Linked DNA regions of Arabidopsis thaliana. The protein of the gene in region 2 interacts with the protein of the main gene of each other region in a pairwise test. Each region holds a gene or a part of one and is shown on either strand. Other genes may lie near its edges.

Region 1 (4,061 bases), on a different chromosome or scaffold from region 2:
ATCAAAAAAATAAAAATTGAATAGAACTCCCCATTGTTGATATTATGGTTCTCTTCTTGTTGTTGTTGATTTAGACTATAATTTGTAACGCTATACCTAATATATGTGTTGCTCCCCATTGTTGTCCTTAAGGAGATGCTATATACATATAGATACTAGCCATGCAAGGATCATTAGAAAATGAATGTGATTAAATTACAAATAGACCCTTCGAACAATGAGAATCTCATGGTTATTGTTATAATGACTAAAGATTACATAAACATAAATAACACAAACTAAACATTTGTAACAACATCAAATATCCTAACCTCCGTACTATGCACGAATTTAACGTGTGAAAAATCGGGCCGGAGAACAAACTGTTTTAAAATAAACCCAAAAATTGAAATATGAAACGTATAATATAATCTTAAATGTAGTATGAAATCTCCAAGAAAATACTAGTAATATTCAATCATATGAAGAAAAGCCATGCAACGGCTGCGAGAACAGAGCCCGAGACAGAGATCACAAGCGATGAGGCTCCTGCCGCAGGAGCCGAAGCTTCAGGGCCGTCACTGGCGCCAGTTCCGTCATCGGAAGATGGAGACATTTCTGGAGTCGGAGCTGGCGGAGAGGAGGCGGTAGGTGCGTCAGAGGAGCTGGTAGGACCTTCGGAAGAATCACCGGAGCTTGAGTCAGGGCTTGAAGCCGGAGTTTTGGCTGATGATGACTTTGGAGATGGGGAAGATGGGGAAGGGCTTGGAGTTCCGGTGGAATTTTTCTTGGCCATGGTTGGAGCAGCTGTAGGCGGTGAGGTTGGGGCGGAGGCCGTGGGTGATTTTGGGGATGCTGCGGCGGCGGGAGAAGGAGAGGTAGAGTTCTTTTCGCCGTTGGCTTTCGGTGCGTTTGCCGGTGTTGGAGGATCGGCGGCCAAGACGGCGGTGATGGCCAAGGCAGCCACGGCGAGAGATAGGAGTTTAAGTGTCATTGTCATTTTGTGGTGAATGTGAATTGCTTTTGTGGTGATTAATTATGTATTTTTGTGGTTTATGATTAGTGCTAAAAAAGATTAAAAAGAAGAAAAGAGTTATTTTTGAGAGATTAAGGAAGAGGTAAAATTTAATTTATAGGGAATTCTACAGATTTGACCAAAGTTTTGGTTGACCGGGTCCATCGGAACTTGTCTTAAAATTTTATTGGTTTGATCTTTTGTTAGTAAAAAGAGAACATGTGGTAATGATAATTCCCAACTTTCAAGAAACAATTGAGAACACGTGACTATTGAGATTGATTTTGTGGTAACTAAATGAGCACTGTTTCAACAAAAGTTAATTTTAATTTAAGCTATACAAAATACTAAGAATTAAAACTTGATTAACGTACCAGTTAGTCAATAACTCAATATTAAGTGGAAGTTCAATTGTTCAATACAAATTCATACACGTAACTGAAGAAGCACATTTAAAAGTCAACGAAACATTTACATTTCGTAAACTAAAAATAAATAAATCTACTGCAATCTTGTGAATGAGTCTAATTAGAGATGAGAAAGTAAACTGAGCCCAAAATAAATAAGGCCCATTTAAAATGTAAGGCCCATGATAATACTCATAAGCTTTGTAATCCACGACGCACGTGTTCCATAATGGCTAACATAAAAACGGCAAGCAGTCTACTTTTTTGTCGTTATCACTTTTTAACCCTTTTCGGCTTCTATCCGTCGATTCAAATCGGCGGCAGTTCCCAGCGACATTAATCTCCGGCGAGACAGTTTACTCGGTGAGTTTCGCGGCTACATAGTTTTTTTGAACTTCCTTGAATTGTTCATTATTTCGGGATATAAACGGAATTTGCTTTTCCCCGATCGTCGTATCACTGTAGAGAAACCGATACTTGATTGGTTCTTCGCTATTTTTCTCTATTTTGATATGCAATTCGATTTCACACTCTCAAATTCATAATCCTAGTTTGTATAGTACTCTATCTCGTGAAATTGTCTGCTTTTATCGATTAAGGCGTTGTTGCGTACATTGCAGTGTTTATTGAAGCTATGCCTAAAAGAACAGCAGAAGCGTGTCCATCATCTGAAATCCAAAGAAGCAGAGGAGATACTTTTGGTAGTTACAGATCTCAAGTAGCTGAGCTTTTGTCTCTAGGTGAGAGGATCTCACATCATGATCAACAAGAAGCCAATGAGAGGCATTCTGAGAGTGTTATAGGAGCTGGGATGTCAAATGTTGAGAAAGATAATTTGAATGTTTTGTTAAGGCAGTGTGTGAGGAATCTAAGTCCAGAAGTTGATGAGGTACTTCAGAGTTCTACTTCTAATATCGTATGATGAAAGAGTACTCAATATTATTGCAATTCGTTTGCAGATGCAGGAATGTGTACGCTCTCTGTATCTAATTTCTCAGCTAGGGAACAAATGTCAGTCATCGTCGCCGAGCGATTTTGTTCCTGAAGAAACCGGAGGAGCGAGAGTTCGTCTTTTACTTATATGTTCTTAATCCTCTTGCTTGAAACATACTTGTATATCTTTCATTTTGTTTTCTCAAAATTCCTTCAGGAAGATGATATTCAACTACTTCTGAGGTCTGACTCTGATATGGTCAAGAACATAACGTCACAGTATTCAAATGTTCTGCTGTCCAAAGTAATGTTCCACATTAGTATATCTAGCTTGCAGAAAGATCAATCATCTAATATAGCTAACTTCTGCATATGTTTTGTTTTGAAAGCTGGACAATATGCAGCAGGAACTCGAGAGACTTCTTGACGATGTGGTGGCGACTTGCAGGTATAGTGTGGTCTAATTGATCTCTAGTTTGTGCCATTATATAATCAGTTAAAGAGTTTTCCTTATGAGAACATTCTTTGTTGGTGGTTACTTATGTGTTAGTTGTTAACTCTTTTAAAACAGACCTATGACTCGTGGTGAAATTCGGGAGCTTCAGAAATCGATCAAGGAGCTGCCTGAGAGGAATCTCAACCGCGTCGCTGAAATAGTAGGAAATCATTGCATAGCATCTGGCAGAGATTTCAACGATAAGGTTATCGTCAACCTTGATCAGGCGGTAAGACACAATCCGTAGTTAATTGATTCTCTGGTTCCGATGAGTATTAATGGAAAACTAACAGCATTTCAACCAAACTGTGTTTTCTTCAGGACAAGGTCATGTTATGGAGATTGCATTTCTATGTAGGAGCAGTCAAGAGGCCCAGAAGCTCGCTCCCTAGCTAACTTTGGCTGTATATATATGGACTGGGATGTTGAGATGGTGTGATGGGCTAAACCGGTTTAATATATTTCCTACTTTTTTTGTTTTCCTGATTAGTCCGGTTAAGCCGTGTAGTAGTTGGTCTTACATGGACGGTTAACAAATGAAAATCGGTTCTGATTTGGTAAGACTTTGTCCTTCGTCCCATGAAGATTTCTCTAACAAAAAATCATTGACCACATCATGACATGAATCCAAAGAAAACACATAGTTTGCTAATGTGTCTGTTAGACGATTAATCTCTTTAGATAGTGTGTATCAATTTCATTATTTTTGTTTTAATCGTCTGTCATTGTATCAGTTTCGGTTAGAAACTAAGATAGGGAAAATATTTCTCGTCCTATAAGATGTTTTACCTAAGCACAAAAAATCATTAAAACGGTATTCAAGACTTTTAAATAAATCAAACAAAAACAAATTTTGATTTCAAAGTAAAACGAAAAAAAAAATCGTAACATGAAAAAAAAAGATATTTTTATTTTATTTTATTTGGAAATAAAATCTGAATAATTATTTTATGACAGTCAATAAAAAGCTATGAAATATTTCTAGAGCTTTACTAATGGGGGAAGTTTGAACTAGCTGCTTGATATTAATATAATAATTTGATTATCAACAAAAAAGTTATATTTAAGAATTAAGATTGATATATGTTAAACTTTTGGTAATTTTGTTCTAAAACCAATATTCTTTGGTTGACTTGACTATTTTATTAATATATTAGTATAAATTGAGAATGTGAATCTCCTTTCCAAACTATTCTTATAGGTTTTCTATATATATAATTTCCTACATAGC
Region 2 (3,943 bases):
ATATATTAGAATCGATCATATATATGGGAATCAAAAAGACGTGTAGATTAGCGGAAGATACGGCGATGATTTTGCTTCTATGTTTTTCGCTTCTCTTAATTAATAAACTATTTTTGGGGTTATAAAGTCTCAGTCCATTAATTTCACCTTACTGCCAGCTAACAATCCCGATGAATTACTCATAAATATTGTAATACAACAATTACTCATAAATATTGTAATACAACACTTTAATTTACGTTCATTCATTTTTTTTATCACTCCAAAAAGATAATGATGTATTTGATATGCGATCCATATTTTTCCCCGACGTCAAGATTTTTTCTATGCCATTTTTTAAAATGAGTTCTTATTATTTACATTGTTGATCATGTGGTTTTACAGTGCCACATTAGTTGCTAAAATTATATACAATACAAATAACTTATATAATTTTTCCTCACCAGTATTAGTGGTCTATGTTTGGAGTATTTTTTATATAACATATATGGTACCGACTCGATTCAATTGATTAAATACCATAAAAGATAATTCTGTCTATAGACAATCTTTTACAATATTCTTTTTTTAAAAAAAAAAATACCTTAATTTGGGTTCATTTGAGTTTAACAAATTAAAAGTGAAAAAGAACTAATGAAAACTCAGTATTCTTACTACAATTTTCAATAAATATCGAAATTTATAATTAATTAATACTTAATTTACATTTTTCATATTTATATTTATCCATTCAGTTAATTGAAAATTAAAAATAAAATAATAATGTGAATATGTTTTATTGGTTAAATAAAAATGTAGTAGATTTTACGATATATTAAACATACAACTTTTTTTTGGTTAAGAACTATTGTATAGAGTAAGGTTTCAAATAATAACAATGGAACAAATTTTTTGTCCAAAAAAAAAAAAAATGGAACAAATTTAACTGTGAGAAAATAGTGGGATAGAAGCAAATAATGGAACCAGTGCAGTTAGTACGAAATGAAAGAATATGTGGAAGTATCATAAATATGTAAAATTTAAAAGTTAGAATACCAAAATTTTAGCTATCTTTTTAAAGAGGATCTAAAAAGTATCAGAAAACATGTAAGGTTGTGTTTATTAGAACTATTCATCTAGTAGAAAAGTGATTGTCATTATCTTCAAGTATCACATTAAAAAAAAAAAAAAAAATGTTGTGTAGTGTCTGTCGATGAACATCGGAGTAAAATGGATGTCATTATCTTGAAAGAACTAAGAAATATGAGTGTCCATAGGCAGAGTAACAAGTTGTTACTAACAACATTACAAGGAGACAATGACTACAAAAAAACAAAACAAATACAAGCATTTTTAGTAACCATACGTTTTAGGCATGCTAGTCCAATATTCCCAGTTAAGGAAATGTACAAAAAATAACATATGTCTAGCTAGAATTCTATGCATTCATAACTTCGAAGCTTCAAACTGATAAGAGTTTAAAAAATGACGTAAAATATTGAATTTGATCTAATGCCAGCTTCTTTTTCTAATCAGTTTAATCAAACTCAATAAATTAAAAAAAAATCTTAAGAATACGTCACTAGCTTAAATAAAATATTAGACATAAACCACTTATATAAACCTTTATCATAACATAACTACACAAACACATTGTCTCTCTTTGCTTACCAATAGACAACCTTAAAGCCACTTTTCGTCAACAAGACACACAAAAACCCTAAACAAAAAATCACTTATCAAACTTATTAGTGTCTAATGGCACTCGTTAATGACCATCCCAACGAGACCAATTACTTGTCAAAACAAAATTCCTCCTCTTCCGAAGATCTCTCCTCGCCGGGACTGGATCAGCCAGATGCAGCTTATGCCGGTGGAGGAGGAGGAGGAGGCTCGGCTTCGAGCAGTAGCACGATGAATTCAGATCATCAACAACATCAGGGGTTTGTATTTTACCCATCCGGTGAAGATCATCACAACTCTTTGATGGATTTCAACGGATCATCATTTCTTAACTTTGATCATCACGAGAGCTTTCCTCCTCCAGCCATAAGCTGTGGTGGTAGTAGCGGTGGGGGCGGCTTCTCCTTCTTGGAGGGCAACAACATGAGCTACGGCTTCACAAACTGGAATCATCAACATCATATGGATATTATTAGCCCTAGATCCACCGAAACTCCCCAAGGCCAGAAAGACTGGTTATATTCTGATTCAACTGTTGTAACCACTGGTTCTAGAAACGAGTCTCTTTCGCCTAAATCCGCTGGAAACAAACGTTCTCACACGGTAATTACAAACAACAAAGTCTTGGTGAATATTTTTCATATAAGATGTCAATGAAAGATCGTTGATATATACTACTATCAATTTGAATTATGGATATATAGGGAGAGAGCACTCAACCGTCGAAGAAACTGAGTAGCGGTGTGACCGGAAAGACCAAGCCTAAGCCAACAACTTCACCTAAAGATCCACAAAGCCTAGCAGCCAAGGTTTGCTTTCTTGACATTAATTTACATTCATTAAAATAAAACTCAATCTCTCAACACATATTTACATATGTTTTATTTTGTTCAGAATCGAAGAGAAAGGATAAGTGAACGTCTCAAGATATTGCAAGAACTTGTTCCCAATGGCACCAAGGTACACATCCATATAACCATTTATGACAGATTTATTATATTACTTATTCTCATGATAATAATATTTGTTATGTTTCACAGGTTGATTTGGTGACAATGCTTGAAAAGGCTATTAGTTATGTCAAGTTCCTTCAAGTACAAGTTAAGGTATATTAGTTATGACAAACATCCCTCAAATTAATTTTCAGGATTGATTTAATTACCATATTTATCGAATTATTACGTAACACGTATTGATATAATCTATTGTTTGTTAGGTATTAGCGACCGATGAGTTTTGGCCGGCTCAAGGAGGAAAAGCTCCTGACATTTCTCAAGTTAAAGACGCCATTGATGCCATTCTCTCCTCATCACAACGAGACAGGAATTCGAATCTGATCACCAATTAATGAAGGGTTTTATCATTAATAAATCAGTTTATCAAACATTAATTACGTACGTTGTAATAATATCGGGGGAAACAATGATTCTCTCGATTATAAATCCCACGTAAATTTTGAAATATGATCCAAAGAGAAGACAATCGAGATTATGTAACGTTAGATTATGTGAAAATCGAGAAGTTCTTAATGCATCTATAACGAAGAGAAGACAAGAGACATTGAATTCACCGATGATCAGTCTGATATGGGTCCACACGGGGATGGAATCTTTAACTAGTAAATAAGTGTTAAAAACATAAATATGTTTTTCAATTTCTTTTTCTGTTTTAATTGTATTTTGTGTGTTTTAGTCTACGGAATACAGATCTTTTATTTAAACTCCAAGAAATGAGTAATAAAATTCTTCACTTTTGTTTTTTCCTTGAGGTTTCAGTTTCAGAGAATCTATCTTTTTGTCATCTTTCTTTGTCTATTTGAGCTTGGCTTTATTAAAGCTAGCTCTTGAGCGACATGCTTATTTATTTAAAATTCGTCAAAAGTTTGTCACACATATTATAGGGTCTCTATATAGATTGCAATGCATAGTATTTTTTGAAAAAAAAGATAAACTATGAATTTCTATTACCAAAATAGACCATTTTTTTATTTATAATTGCTCTAGGACGACGAGTTCTTCTGTGCAAAACATTTTCACATTCTCTGTATGAATGATCAAAACATAATGTTAACCTAGTTTGCTTGGCTAAAACATTTTATGATATAATTTTGGTACACTAAAATATGTATTTTCGAAAATATAAACATTTTTATATGTAGGTAAATAAGTATTCAACCAAAAGTTGAGAAATCTTAAAATCAGTGATGAATAGCATATATTTTTTTTATCAATTAATTGTAGGATAACCATACACTGATACACATCAGCACCTTTATCGTATA

What was found. The genes of interacting proteins can lie anywhere in the genome.
Region 1: the proteins of RHD6 (region 2) and AT3G27420 interact in a two-hybrid assay, tested with the Arabidopsis thaliana proteins (one large-scale study listed by BioGRID).

The regions. Positions count from the first base shown.
Region 1 is NC_003074.8:10,146,914-10,150,974, forward strand, and holds AT3G27420 (bromodomain testis-specific protein), read left to right. Parts: upstream 1-1,641; 5' UTR 1,642-1,764; intron 1,765-2,021; 5' UTR 2,022-2,035; coding exon 2,036-2,290; intron 2,291-2,360; coding exon 2,361-2,465; intron 2,466-2,551; coding exon 2,552-2,638; intron 2,639-2,723; coding exon 2,724-2,782; intron 2,783-2,905; coding exon 2,906-3,059; intron 3,060-3,151; coding exon 3,152-3,226; 3' UTR 3,227-3,507; downstream 3,508-4,061. Other genes in the region: AT3G27416 (uncharacterized protein), read right to left, coding at 458-979; AT3G27415 (uncharacterized protein), read left to right, coding at 462-989.
Region 2 is NC_003070.9:24,793,589-24,797,531, forward strand, and holds RHD6 (ROOT HAIR DEFECTIVE6), read left to right. Parts: upstream 1-1,625; 5' UTR 1,626-1,737; coding exon 1,738-2,265; intron 2,266-2,366; coding exon 2,367-2,471; intron 2,472-2,556; coding exon 2,557-2,622; intron 2,623-2,702; coding exon 2,703-2,768; intron 2,769-2,878; coding exon 2,879-3,010; 3' UTR 3,011-3,427; downstream 3,428-3,943. UniProt on the Arabidopsis thaliana protein: Transcription factor that is specifically required for the development of root hairs. Acts with RSL1 to positively regulate root hair development. Acts downstream of genes that regulate epidermal pattern formation, such as GL2.